2 linked regions of the Anolis sagrei genome follow. The protein of the gene in region 1 purifies or fractionates together with the protein of each later gene. This does not show direct contact. Links are inferred from orthologs where the notes say so. Each region holds a gene or a part of one and is shown on either strand. Other genes may lie near its edges. The genes, in order: TGOLN2 and GALNT2.

Region 1 (7,468 bases):
GAGAGGGATAGTTGAAATTCCTCTGCATGATACCTAAATCAACAGGGAGCAAGAGCAAGACAGCCGCAGATATGCTGGGATTGTTGAAATGCTTTCCAGTGCCATTCATGCAGCATTTGCAAACTGTCGTTGCTACTCCCCTTTACAGTTTCACTTTTCTGTAAATCCCTGACTATTGGTCTTGCCGGCTGAGACTTCTGGCAGCCCCAGAAGTCGAAAATAAAACATTGTTGTGACATTTATAAAATAAATAAATGCTTATTCAGAGATGATGATGTTGTCGCAACTCAGGATAGATTCACCTTGCTCAGAACAACACCACACACCAAGGCTGTAGGTTTTGTAGTTTATTGAAGAAAAACAAAATCATAAATGTAGAAATAAGGTTGCAAAAGTTCAATAGCCAAAACAGAGTCTCAACTGCAAAGGCAGAGTTTCCAAGGTCCAAAGGCAAATAGCATGAAGTATTATCCACAAGTACTGGTCAAACAAGAATCCATGGCAGCACGAATCGTAATGTAAATATCTGATGTGCAGGATGTATTTTCATTAATTGGACCAAATTTGGCATTAATACCTGATACGCCCAAATCTGAACACTGATGGTTTGGGGGGGGGGGGGGATTGATTTTGTCATTTGGGAGTTGTAGTTGCTGGGATTCATAATTAACCTACAATCAAAGAGCATTCTGAACTCCACCAGCGATAGAATTGAACCAAACTTGGCACACAAAACTCCCACGACCAGCAGAAAATAGATCTGGACCAAACTTGGCACGAATACTCAATATGTCCAAAAGTGAACACTGGTGGTAACTGGGGAGAATAGACGGCATTTTAGAGTTGTAATTGCTGGGATTTATAGTTCGCCTACAATCAAAGAGCATTCTGAACTTCACCAGCAATGGAATTGAACCAAACTTGGCACACAGAACTCCCATGACCAACAGAAAAAATTTGAAGGGTTTGGTGAGTGTTGGCCTTGAGTTTTGGAGTTGTAGTCCACCTACATTCAGAGAGCACAGTAGACTCAAACAATGATTAATCTGGACAAAACTTGGCACAAATACTCAATATGCCCAAATGTGAACACTGATGGAGCTTGGGGAAAATTTACCTTGACATTTGGGAGTTGTAGTTGCTGGGATTTATAGTTCACCTACAATCAAAGAGCATTCTGAACCCCACCAACGATAGAATTGGGCCAAACTTCCCATGCAGAACCCCCATAGCTTGAAGAGACTTGCTGGCGTGAGCCTCCCTCCAGCCCTGCACGCTCTCCCTCGGCCACACATACACAACACACTGCCACGTGCTGAGCACACCTACTCTCCTCTCCCTGCTTGGAGTCTCAAAAACAACCTTCTCCTTGGATGAGAGGTCGGCCAATCACAGCAGAGGAGTGCGGATTTGACCTCTGTTTCCAAAAAGGAAGAGGACAGGTGGAGAGATCTTCAGACTATCAATATGTTTTCTGTTGGTCTTTGGCGACCCCCCCCCCCCCCCCCGAAACCCTCTTGCAACCCCACGGGTCCTGACCCCCAGGTTGAGAAACACTGCCATAGAATGTCAAAACAGTCCAGTAGAAGAAGGTGACAGCAACCTCATACTGAACCAATCTTGCCAAGAAAACCCAATGATATGTTGGTTTTAAGGTCATCATCAATTGGAAATTATTTAGAGACACATAACAATAACAATGGTAGCGAACTAAGCTATTCCTCTTCTTTGGGCAAGGCTGGGGATAGAACAGATTGAACGAGGGGAATCCACCTCAATGAGATCACAAAAACCGACAATTTCCAAGCCATCAATTAATTTGTAAGAAGGATTTCATCCACGATTTTCATGATCTCAGAAGAAAAAAAATATGACGGAGACCACAAGATGGTGCTATGTGATAATTGTTTAGCTGAGTCTATTTCTAGAGACTTAAGGAGCTGACTTTTACAAACTTGGCAGACCTTACATGGCTGTCTGGAACAAGAGAGTTTTGCAGGCCGCCCAATTCACAGACATGCGAGGCGTTGTATTTCTCCTCCTTCACGCACAACAATCTTCCACTAGGGCTGATGTGCCTGGCCACAGACACCTGTAGTAGGTCTGGTAATATGTGTATCACCACCTGTCAATAATCTGTTTATGAAATTGCGACATTCTTGTCTCTTATTATACCTTCTCAGTACATTGCAAGGTGTGTTTTTGTAGTGATGTGTGCATGTTACCGTATATACCTGGCATTACTAAGGTATTGTTACACTACTGTCATGCCTTCTTTCTCACCCCTTCGCCCCCCCCCTTTTTTTATTTCCTTCTCTTTCTCCCTTCTCCAGCTCTTGAGAGGGCCTACCTCACAAGATCTCCATGGCAATGTGTCCCTCTTTATGGCTCTTTCCCCCATTCACTTTGTATGCCTCACAATTCTTTCCAAGTGACATTGCTGAGGGCCACTTCACCTACCGATAGCAAGGTCAGTGACATCGCAGAAGGCCAATTCACCTAGTAATAGCCAGGCCAGTGACACTGCAGATGGACACTTCACCTAGCAACAGCAAGGCCAGTGGTACCCCCGAGGGCCACTTCACCTAGCAACAGCCAGATCAATGACACTGCAGAGAGCCATTTCACCTAGCGACAGCCAGGCCACTTCACCTAGCAACAGCCAGACCAGTGACCTCGCAGAGGGCCACCTATCAACAGCCAGATCAATGACACTGCAGAGGGCCACTTCACCTAGTGATACCAGGCCAGTGACAATGCAGAGGGCCACTTCACCTAGCAACAGCAAGGCTAGTGGTACCCCAGAGGGCCACTTCACCGAGCAACAGCCAGATCAATGGCACTGCAGAGGGCCACTTCACCTAGCGACAGACAGGCCAGTGACACCAGAGGACCACTTCATCTAGCAACAGCAAGGCTAGCACCACCACAAAGGGCCACTTCACCTAGCAACAGCCAGACCAGTGACACCGCAGAAGGCCACCTAGTAACAGCCAGATAAATGACACTGCAGAGGGCTACTTCACCTAGCGACAGCCAGACCAGTGACACCGCAGAAGGCCACCTAGTAACAGCCAGATAAATGACACTGCAGAGGGCTACTTCACCTAGCGACAGCCAGACCAGTGACACCGCAGAAGGCCACCTAGCAACAACCAGGCCAGTGGCATCGGAGAAAGCCACTTCACCTAGCAACAGCTAAACCAGTGACACCGCAGAGGGCCACTTCACCTAGCAACGGGTTTTCAACTCTAATATATTACTTCAAGCAGAGTATCCTAGACAGTTGTGAAGAAAATGGATTCGTCGCTGAGCCTGGAGCCCCAGGTCTCGGCGGTGACCAGGGGAGCCTTTGCACAGCTAAGGCTCGTGCGCCAGCTGCGCCCGTACCTTGGGAAGTCTGACTTGGCCACAGTAGTCCACACTCTGGTTACATCCCGTTTAGACTACTGCAATGCTCTCTACGTGGAGGTGCCTTTGAAGACGGCCCGGAAGCTTCAATTAGTCCAACGTGCGGCAGCCATGTTACTAACAGGGGCGGGACGTAGGGAGCATAAAACCCCCTTGTTGTACCAGCTCCACTGGCTGCCAATTTGCTACCGGGCCCAATTCAAGGTGCTGGCGTTGGCCTATAAAGCCTTAAACAGTTCTGGCCCAAGATACCTATCCGACCGCATCTCGACCTATGAGCCCACCAGGACTTTGAGATCTTCCAGGGAGGCCCTGCTCTCGATCCCGCCTGCTTCACAAGCATGGCTGGCGGGGACGAGAGATAGGGCCTTCTCGGTGGTGGTCCCTCGGCTGTGGAACACCCTTCCCATGGACATCAGACAGGCTCCTTCCCTGTTGATATTCCACAGAAAATTAAAAACCTGGTTGTTCAAGAAGACGTTCGAACAAGAAGTGCAATGATTGGTAATGACTATAGGAATGGAATAACGGAAAATGATATTGGATTGTGGTTTAGACAATGAGACGATGCTGAATGGTTTCGTAGTAATGACAATGTTTTGTATAATGCTTTTTGTATGTTTTTTGCATAATGGTTTGAGAATTGTTTTTATACTGTGTTTTGTATTTTGTTCTTCCCATGTTGTACACCGCTGTGAGTCACCCTTGGGCTGAGAACAGCGGTATAGAAGCAAAGTAAATAAATAAATAAATAAAATGTGCTATTATCCTTGTGGCTTTATAGAATTTTAATATGAATTTCATTGGCCTTTAGAAGATGCACCCTCTCTCTCTATATATATAGCCATGAAGGAACCTGATGAGATGCTCAAGTGAAGAATCAAAGCATGTTACAGCACTCTAGTTCATTCGTAGCTCTAGGGCGCCTCATCGACGAAGCCCCGCCCCCTTCTCCTTCCCTCCCTTTCTGTGACAGGGCGCCTCCTATTCTCGCGAGAGTGGAGACCAGAGCTCGGGGAGTCTCCCTCGGCGGATGTGACGTGAACGGACTTCCTTTTCCCGTGTGGAGGTGTTGCGGGAAGCGGAAAAGAGTCTGGGCTTGGCCGGCATGGCGAGCGCGCGGCGGTGCCTCCTTCTGCTCTTCCTCCTCTTCCAAGTGGCCGCCTTCGGTGCCTCGGCGCCGCTGGAGCCCGGCGGAGGAGAAGCAGCAGCAGGAGGAGGAGGAGGAACAGGCGGCGGCGCGGAGGAAGCAGAGGCGGAGGAGGCCGCAAAGGAGGGCCCAGGTCAGAGCGCGAGGAGGTGGCTCTCGGGCCATGTTTCCCCCATGTTTCCCTGCCCTTCCCCTTTCGCTTCTCATCTCATCTCTAATTACTTATTAATCGCCCTCCATCCGAGATGCTCCAGGCGATTTACACTGCAGGAATTACACAGGATAAAACGCATACATACAAATATTAAAATTAACATGAGTCAAATGCTCCAGTAAAAAGCCAGGTCTTAAGCGCCAGGACAAAACGCCCCAAGTCGCGCATGGCTCGGAAATAGGGCGGCAAGGAATTCCACAAGGCAGGGGCAGAAATAGAGAAGGCCCATCTGCGTCTGGTGCTTTCCAAGCGCACTTCTCTAGGACCCGGTATATTGAGCAGATCGCGTTGGGATGGTCGTGGCGACCTCCGATGATGGTAGAAGGAGAGGCGGTCTCTAAGATACAATGGATCCTGGCCAAATAAAGTTTTAAAGGTCAGGACCAGCATCTTATACAAACCACGATGCTCAATTGGGAGCCAGTGTAGATGCCGCAGCACTGGTGTTATATGGCATTTCATGGGCGTTTTTGTGAGTAACCTGGCTGCAGCATTCTGAACAATACGGAGCTTTCGGGTCGTAGAAATAGGAAAGCCAACATACAAGGCGTTACAATAGTCTAGCCTAGATGTGACCGTGGCATGGATGACTGTTGCCAGAGCCTCATCCGACAGGTAAGGTGCCAGTTGCCTCGCTTGTCGTAGATGGAAAAAGGCCTGTTTGCTGGCAGCAGCAACCTGAGCCTCCATCGTCAGCTGCAAATTCAAAATGACACCTAGGCTCTTAACAGTAGGCAATGGAGATAGAGCAGCATCATCAAAGGCTTCTGTTCATTTCTGTGGCTGATGAGTCCACCATGAAAGTTCATCTCATATTTATTAATATACTACGGTAGTGTGTGTGTGTGTGTTATCTATCTATATAAATAAAAATTTAATGTTCGTTTGTGGGATTAACATAACTCAAAAACCACTGGGGGAATTGACACGAAATTTGGACACAATACACGTAACAGTCCAACAAGTGTCCATCATCCCTAAAACACACACAAACCCAGCGGAACAGACTTAAAAATCCAAAAAATACACCATATATACATATACAAATACACTCATATACATATACACATGCACTCATACACATGTGTGTGTGTGTGTATATACACATGCACACATACAGATATACATGCATATACATATACACATAAACACACACATATTCATATAGACAAGAACACACATATACAAAATATGCATGTCCACATATAAACAAACAAATACACAAATATATGCACATACATATACACATGCACACAGATATACATATATACATAAACACAGAAATATTCATATAGACAAGAACTCACATATACACATTATGCATGTACACATATAAACAAACAAATACACTAATATATGCGCACACACATATACAAAATATGCATGTACACATATAAACAAACAAATACACAAATATATGCACATATACATATACACAAATATTCATATAGACAAGAACACACATATACACAATATGCATGTACACATATAAACAAATACACAAATATATGCACACACACATATACATATACACATATATGCACACACACACATATATATATACAAACATCTATACACCCACACACACATATATATGGAAACACACATATAAACACAAATAGATACGAGTTGTAGTTTACCTACTACCACAGAGCACTGTGGACTCAAACAATGATGTATCTGGGCCAAACTTAGCACAAATATTCCAAATGCCCAAATATGAACACAGATGGAGTTTGGGGGAAATTGACGTTTCCATTTGGGAGTTGTAGTTACTGGGATTTATAGTTCACCTACGATCAAAGAGCATTCTGAACCCCACGAATGATAGAATTGGGGCAAACTTCCCACACAGAACCCCCATGACCAACAGAAAATACTTAAGGCCATCCAGTCCAACTCCTTTCACCAGAGCAAGAAAACATAATCAAAGCCCTCCTGACAAAGAGCCATCCAGCCATAAATATAGATAGATATGATTCACACACACACATATATACATATATGACAGATAATAGTATCATAGATTTGAAAGAGACCCCTGAAGAAGGACAGTTATATGTTGTATATTCCCTAGTAGGCAAACCAGACAATCTCTACATCAACACTAACAAAGAAACAACAAGAAATACTGTTTACTCACAAGTATCAAGACATTACATATATTAGAAACCAACACTTTCTCATTACTTTATTTTCCAGATCACCAGACTGGGCCACAGCAACGCATGGCAGGGAATGCCTAGTCTATATAAATAAAACTGTAATGTTCGTCTGTGGGATTAACATAACTCAAGAACCACTGGACAAATTGCTACCAAAATCAAAAAGCATTCTGAACCCCAGGAATGATAGAATTGGGAGCAAACATCCCACACAGAACCGCTATGACCAATAGAAAAGGCGATCCAGTCCAACTCCCTTCACCAGGGCACGAAAATATAATCAAATACTGTATACCCACAAGCATAAAGAAATTACATATATTAGAAACCAACACTTTCTCATTACGGTACTTTATTTTCCAAATCACCAGACTGGGCCACAGCAATGCATGGCAGGGGATGGCTATATACATATATATATACACACATACCTGGCACTGCCCGGGTGACATTGAGGCCGCTGTTTACCTACTTTCTCCCTTCTCCAGCTCTGAGAGGGCCAAGGTCGTCTCCATAGCAACGAGGGTC
Region 2 (7,990 bases), on another chromosome or scaffold:
CCCCGACAGTTCCAGCTATTCTCCTTGGTCTAATAAGACCAACCCAAAGATATTCTATTGTCTGAGCCAAAGAACAAAACAGTGTCCCCTCCACTATATAAACAGAAACTGATTACACAAGCTTGGTTCAATACTGCAATGGGACAAGGCAGCAAGGCACACCTCAAGGCCATAGATGGCTGGATTTCTTCTTTGGTCGCCACAGCTCTCTTTCAAGAAGAGAGAATGATCAGAAGTCTCTTCCATTTGCTGAATGGTGGGACCAGGTTTTCAACTCACAGAAGCTAGGGCTATATTAACAAAACTTTGGGAAAAGACATCAATGCAAATAGAGTGGGCTATGAAAACCTAAGATTCCATAGAAATGGACAAATTACTAATTTTGTTTGAAGAGAAGACTGCAGAAATATTTAAGGAAAATTGAGTTTAGTGACTGAACTTCCTGACTGTGAGAGCTGTTCAGAAGGGGAACTCTCTGCCCCGGAGTGTGGTGGCGACTCCTTCTTTGGAGGCTTTTAAACAGAAGCTGGATGGCCATCTGTTGGGGTTGCTTTGAAAGCAATTTTCCTGCTTCTTGGCAGGGGTTTGGATTGGATGGCCATGAGGTCTCTTCCAACTCTATGATTCTATTAAAATGAGGGCAGAAATAACTCCAGTTTTTTAAAAGACACATACAATTAAATTATATGACCAATTTGGTATTAGAATTCTATATAAAGATTTTAATTTTATTATAAATTAAGATATTTTAATTTTATAATAAATAAGGTAGAATCAGTAATGGAACAACAATTGGGGCCTGGAAAACTGGAAAACAAGGATATCAGGAGGAGAGGCTGACTACCCACAAAAGGTTACTACTACCACATCAGCTCTAGATTATTAAATAGGGTTTTCTGTGGGTGAGCAGATAGGGACTACTAGACAGCATATGCTCTGTATCAGAAACTAGAGCTGATGTGGTCTATCCAATGCAATTTTCTGAATCAGCATCCCAAATAACCAAACTGAATGAAAAGTTGATCAAAAACTCCAAAATGTTGGAGTGTAGTCCCTGGTCAAAGTGGTCCCTGTTCAAGTCGTGTCTGGTAAAAAAAGAAAAGAAAAGATTAGATAGGGAGAGAGGGGGAGTGAATATATATAGTGTGGAATGGATATGTGTTGTTAGTTTATTTTTTGGAGTGCAAGACAGGAGTGGATTAAAACATGAAAAAGGACCAAGTCTATTGTTTATTTCAGAATTATTAAACTGCATTAAATGTGGATGCTGAGTTACCTTAAACATGACAACAAAATTAAGGAGCCATTTTGTAAAATATTATCCAAGAGAAGGAAGAAATGTTCTCCAGACTCCATGGAGCTCAGCAAACTGGGAAGGCAATGGGGTTATTTTGCACAGGTATGGTGAAAATGCCAGCATTATGTGAACTTGGGTTTGTTGAATTAAACATCTTCAGTTGGAGAGTCCTTGGGAGATTTTGTTGGGCTAAGGCTGGATAAAGTCAAAACAGGTTGGGAACCACTGATCTAGTTGAACATAGATGTAGGGAAAGGTGGGGTTTGTTTATATTGTTGTGTGTGTCATTATTGTTGTTATTATTTTATAATTTTTGGGTAAATGTGTATACTTGGTAGTTTAAAATTGATATGTAAGTTAATTAAAAAACCAGAAACACGGGGCAATGACATAATAATAATAATAATAATTTTATTTATTACCTGCTTCTCTTGATGGTTTGAGGCAGGGTACAGTACAACAAAGTCAAAAACATATGAACATATAATATGTACAATAAATACTTCGATTAAAACACAAAAATATTTTTAAAAACTTGCATCAAACACAGATACAGAATTGACATAAAGTAGCAACAAAATGCAAATCAAATAACTAGCCTACATATGCCTATTGAGGTTTGTAGACCAAACTTGGCCAGCTAGTTTTACTTTTATTATACAGTCTTTTTATACCCACAGATTTGCAGAGAAGTGTATATGGGAAAATCATGCCAGAAAACTTTTAAGAAATCATACTACACACCATTTTCATGATGTTAATTCACTGCCAAAGCTTTGAAAAATTCCACCTGTCCAACCAAGTTTGGAAAGCCAGTGTGGTCATTTGAGCATGCTGGTTGCTAGATTGTGCAAATTGTAATTATTATTTTTTTTAAAACCAGAACATTTTCTAAGCTTTACTCGCTGTTTTGGAGGGAAGAGCTATTATTTATTTATGGTGTAAGGCAGTGGTTCTCAATCTGTGGGTCCCCAGGTGTTTTGGCCTACAACTCCTAGGGAAGTTCCAACTTCCATAGGGAAGCTGATGAGGAAACACAACATACAAACAATCTACAAACCCACCAAGAAAATCCAACAAATGCTACGTTCAGCAAAGGACAAGAGGGATCCTCTCACCTCTGCAGGAGTCTACCGTATACCATGCAGCTGTGGACAAGTCTACATAGGGACCACCAAACGCAGCGCCCAGACACGCATCAAGGAACATGAAAGGCACTGCAGACTCCTTCAACCAGAGAAGTCAGCCATAGCAGAGCACCTGATGAACCAGCCTGGACACAGCATATTATTTGAGAACACAGAAATGCTGGACCACACCAACAACCACCATGTCAGACTACACAGAGAAGCCATTGAAATCCACAAGCATGTGGACAATTTCAACAGAAAGGAAGAGACCATGAAAATGAACAAAATCTGGCTACCAGTATTAAAAAACTCTAAAATTATAACAGCTAAACAACAGAGAGGAAAAAACCAGGCACAGATTAACACCTCCCAGCAACAGATTTTCCCAGGCTCAGGCAGGCCTTCAAATGCTAATGAAGGTGATCAGCTAAACATTCACACCTAACTGCAGCAGGGAAGAGCTCCTTGCCCCACCCCAGCCATTCCACAGATATATAAACCCATTTTTCCTACTTCCAACAGACCTCACAACCTCTGAGGATGCTTGCCATAGATGCAGGCGAAACGTCAGGAGAAATGCCTCTAGAACATGGCTCTATAGCCCGAAAAAACCCACAAGAACCTAACTCCTAGAAATCCCAGCCAGTTTACCAGCTGTTAGGATTTCTGGGAGTTGAAGGCCAAAACATCTGGGGACCCATAGGTTGAGAACCACTGGCGTAAGGGAAGGAATCCCTGTTGCTTTTGCAGTGTGTGAAGTTGTTGTTGTTCATTCGTTTCTGACTTCGTGACTTCATGGACCACGCTAGAGCTCCCTGTCAGCCGTCACCACCCCCAGCTCCTTCAAGGTCAATCCAGTCACTTCAAGGATACCATCCATCCATCTTGCCCTTGGTCACTCCCTCTTCCTTTTCCCCAGCATAATTGTCTTTTCTAAGCTTTCCTTTCTTCTCATGATGTGGCCACAGTACTTCATCTCGGCCTCTAGTATTCTTCCCTCCAACGAGAAGTCAGGCTTTATTTCTTGAAGTATGGACTGGTTGGATCTTCTCGCTGTCCAAGACACTCTCAGAACTTTCCTCTAGCACCACAGTTCAAAAGCATCTTCCTTCACTCAGCCTTCCCTATGGTCCAGCTCTCACATCCGTAGGTGACTGTGTGTGAGGTATGTGTGTGAGGTAGGTAACACTATATCACACTAGAGAAAAAATCCACTTCAAATCCAGTTTCTACCTCCTGCAGAATTCTGGCGTTTGTAGTTTAGAGAGGAGCCTTTAACAGCATTATTTTATTATTATTATTATTTGCATTTGTTAACCGCCACTCTCAGCCCGAAGGCGACTCATAGAATCATAGAATCAAAGAGTTGGAAGAGACCTCATGGGCCATCCAGTCCAACTATAATATCTTCTCTCAGCCAAGAAGGAGGAACATTGCATTCAAAGCACCCGACAGATGGCCATCCAGCCTCCCTTTAAACGCCTGGAAAGAAGGAGCCTCCGCCACACTCCGGGGCAGAGAGTTCCACTGCTGAACAGCTCTCACAGTCAGGAAGTTCTTCCTCATGTTCAGATGGAATCTCCTCTCTTGTAGTTTGAAGCCATTGTTCCGCATCCTAGTCTCCAAGGAAGCAGAAAACAAGCTTGCTCCCTCCTCCCTGTGGCTTCCTCTCACATATTTATACATGGCTATAATATCTTTTCTCAGCCTTCTCTTCTGCAGGCAAAACATGCCCAGCTCCTTAAACTATTAAACTACAAACCCCAGAATTCTGCAGGAGGTAGAAACTGGATTTTAAGTTGATTTTTTCTCTAGTGTGATGAGGGCAGAAGTGAGATGTTTGATAATAACTATGCTTAAATAAGTTACTGCAAAATCAAATGTTTGTTATTATTATTATTATTATTATTATTATTTCCTATTTTATCACCACTCCACTTGCTGACTGAGGTATGTAAAAGTCTTTTGAAATCCACTCTAATAATGAAATACATCAAAAAACAAAACTCTACAGGACTAGAGCTGCCGAAAGTGCAGCCTGAACGCCAGCTCTTCCTCCTCCAGTGAGACATACCTTTCCCACGCCTGGCATGAAGAAAGGAGAGGCCTTCCAACCTCCCGCTCCACACGCCTTTACTTCGAGGCAAGTCCCTTCTGCGGAGCTTCTCCCCGGGGGAAGGCCAGGCTCGTACGGGAACGACATCTCATGTCCCGCGGAGAGGGTTCTATGGGACGGGAAGCCTGGGAAGGTAGGCCCCTGAGGCTGGAAGTCCCCTGAGGCTGGAAGGCAGGGCGCCGGCCTCGGCTGCCACCCGGGCTCCCAGCTCTCGGAAGAGGCCTAGCTGTGGTTGAAGCGGCGCTAAAGGACCGAGAGGCATGAAAGGAAGAGGGACCCCAGGAGGCCCCGCGTGCTGCAACCATGGCGACGGCGCGGCTGAGCTCCGCCCCGCGCGGCGCTTGGCGGCCGGCGATTGGCCAGAGGGTGGGCGCGCGCCCTCTGCCCCTTGACCCTTGTGCGGCGGCGGCGGAGGGGGAGGAGGAAGGCGGGCAGGAGGGCGGGCGGTGGAGGCGGCAGCGGCATCGCCTGCCGCCCCTTTCCTGCTGGCCTGGCGGCGGCTGGTGCCGCGGCTGCAGCACTGGGCGGGCGGGAGGATGCGGCGCAAGTCTCGGCTGCTGCTCTGCTTCGCCTTCCTCTGGGTGCTCGGCATCGCCTACTACATGTACTCCGGGGGCAGCGCCGCCCTCGCCGGCGGAGGAAGGAAGGTGAGGAGCAGGAGGGGGGGGGGGGCGCGGCTTCCCTTCGCCCTCAGCCGGGGAGAAGCCTCGCTGGACCTTCTCCTCACGGCTCCCCCGTTTGCCTGCCTGCCTGCCTTCCTTCCTGCCGAGGCTCCTTCTTTTCCCTCAGGCTCCTCGCCCATTCCTCTCCCTCTCCCTCCTTCGCCTTTCTCCTGTCATGGAGGACTCCCTTCCCTTTCCTCTCTTCCTTCCTTCCTTCCTCTCTCTCTTCTTTCCTTCCTTCCTCGGCTTCCTCAGTCTCCTCGCTGCTGCTTCTTCCATTTCCTCTTTCCATCCTGCCTCCTTCCTTTTTTCCTTCCTTCCTTCCTGCCAAGGCTCTTTCAAGTACCTCAGGCTCCTCGCCTCTTTCGCCTTTCATGGAGGATTTCCTTCCCTTTCCTCCTTTTCCTCTCTTATTTCTTTTCTCCTTCCATGCTGCCTCCTTCCTTCCGTCCTTTCCCCCCTTCCTTCCTGCCGAGGCTCTCAGGCTCCTTGCCTCTTCCTCTTTCGCCTTTCATGGAGGATTTCCTTCCCTTTTCTTCTTTCCTTCCTCTCTTCCTTGGCTTCCTCAGTCTCCTCGCTGCTTCCTCTTCCCTTCCTTCCATGCTGCCTCCTTCCTTCCTTCCTTCCTTCCTTTTTGCATTCCTTCCTTCCGAGGCTCTTTCGTTTACCTCAGGCTCCTCGCTCCTTCCTCTTTCTCCTTCCATGGAAGACTCCCTTTCCTCACTTCCTTCCTTGGCTCCTTCAGGCTCCCCGCTGCTTCCTTTTCTCTTTCCTTCTTCTATGTTGCCTCCTTCCTTCCTGTTATCCTTCCTTTCGAGGCTCTTTCGTTTACCTCAGGCTCCTCACCCCTTCCTTCCTCAGTTCCTTCAGTCTGCTGGCTGCTTCCTTTGCCCTTTCCTCCCTCCATGCTGCCTCCCTTCTTCCTTCCGGCTTTCCTTCCTTCCTGCCGAGGCTCTTTCCTTTACCTCAGACTCCTCACTCCTTCGCCTTTCTCCTTCCATGGATGACTCCCTTTCCTCCTTTTCCTCTCTTCCTTGGTTCCTTCAGTCTCCTTGCTGCTTCCTCTTCCCTTTCCTCCCTCCATGCTGCCTCTTCCTACCTTCGTAGGCTCTTTCCTTAAGTCAGACTCACTCCTTTCGCCTTTCTCCTTCCATGGAGGACTCCCTTCCCTTTCCTCCTTTCCCTCTCTTCCTCCCTCCCTCTCTTCCTCGGTTCCTTCAGTCTCCTCGCTGCTTCCTCTTCCCTTTTCCCTTTCCTCCCTCCATGCTGCCTCTCCCTCCCATCCTCCTTTCCTTCCTGCCGAGGCTCTTTCCTTAAGTCAGATTCACTCCTTTCTCCTTCCATGGAGGACTCCCTTCCCTTTCCCTCTCTTCCTTCCTTCCTCGGTTCCTTCAGTCTCCTCGCTGCTTCCTCTTCCCTTTCCTCCTTCCATGCTGTCTCCCCCCCCCCCTTCCTTCCTGTCGGAGGCGTGAGGGGATGTCCTCTTTGGGGAAACTGGGGCGCCTCGTGACTGCTTCTTCTTCGGTGGGAACAGGGTCCCCGTGAATGTGTATGCGTGTGTATTGAGGAAATGGGCGCCACGAGGAGCTCCTTCCCGGCTGAAACCCAGCCAGGCTGTTGCGCCTTCTTCGCCTTGGGCGAACCAGGTCTTCCTCTCTCCCTCCCTCCCTCGCGGGGAGGAAGTGCTGCGTACTGCTTCCATGTTTGAAATACCCGAAAGGAGGTCTCTGTGAGGAAGGGGCCGGCTTGTGCTCTGCTGCCTCTGGATCACTCCTGGGCAAACTTGGGCCCTCCCTCCAGGCGTTTTGGACTTCAGCTCCCACCATTCCTAACAGCCTCAGGCCCCTTCCTTTCTCTCCTCAGCCGCTTAAGGGAGGGCCCAAGTTTGCTCATGCCTGCTCTGGACAATGTGGAGGAGTTAAAAGGCAGGGAAACATATTTTACCTAACCCTTTGGAAGAACTTCCTCGTGTGATAGAAGCTCCGTAGTGTGATAGAAGCTCCTCCTCTAGAGGTTTTTTTTTTTTAAGCCGGATGACCCTCTCTTCAGAGAGCTTTCATTGTGTGGCAGAATGGGGTTGGACTGGTTGGCCCAGGTAGTCTCTTCTATGACTTGCCAAGATTTATGATTCCTTGTCGAAGGCTTTCATGGCTGGAATCACTGGGTTGCTGGGAGTTTTCCAGGTTTGATGGCCATGTTCCAGAAGCATTCTCTCCTGATGTTTTGCCCACATCTATGGCAGGCATCCTCAGAGGTGGAGGGGTCTTTTAGAAACTAGGCAAGTGTGGTTTACATATCTGTAGAATGTCCAGCGTGGAGAAAAGAATTCTTGTCTTTTTGAGGCAGGTGTGAATGTTGCAAAAAGTAGGGGAACTCCAGACAAGAATCAATGAGGGCCAGCTAACATCTCCCAACAAAGGATTCCCCAGGCAGCAACCAGCCAGGCTTTGAAACTGCAAGGCCATTAAATGCTAATCAAGATGGCCAAATTGCAACATTCACACCTGCCTCAATCAGACCAGAGTTTTTCCCCCCACCCTGGACATTTTACAGATATATAAACCCCACTTGCCTAGTTTCCAACAGATCCCTCAACCTTTGAGAATGCCTGGCATAGATGTCGATGAAATGCCAGGAGAGAATGCTTCCGGAACATGGCTATACAGTCCGGAAAACTCACAGAAACCCATCATTAGAGTTCTCCTTCCCTTCGAAGCATGGTGCCAAGGTTCATATCTTGCCATATTCTGTGCTCACCTCCTCCTTAGGTGTTCCTTACTCCATC

Evidence for each region.
Region 2: the proteins of TGOLN2 (region 1) and GALNT2 purify together in Homo sapiens (affinity purification with mass spectrometry; 3 studies listed by BioGRID and IntAct, counting the BioPlex papers as one, with this or other methods). This does not show direct contact. The link is inferred for Anolis sagrei from reciprocal best matches to the Homo sapiens genes TGOLN2 and GALNT2.

The regions. Positions count from the first base shown.
Region 1 is NC_090027.1:16,335,578-16,343,045, forward strand, and holds the start of TGOLN2 (trans-Golgi network integral membrane protein 2), read left to right. Parts: upstream 1-4,447; 5' UTR 4,448-4,519; coding exon 4,520-4,694; intron 4,695-7,468. UniProt on the Homo sapiens protein: May be involved in regulating membrane traffic to and from trans-Golgi network.
Region 2 is NC_090021.1:61,525,546-61,533,535, forward strand, and holds the start of GALNT2 (polypeptide N-acetylgalactosaminyltransferase 2), read left to right. Parts: upstream 1-4,990; 5' UTR 4,991-5,079; coding exon 5,080-5,190; intron 5,191-7,990. UniProt on the Homo sapiens protein: Catalyzes the initial reaction in O-linked oligosaccharide biosynthesis, the transfer of an N-acetyl-D-galactosamine residue to a serine or threonine residue on the protein receptor.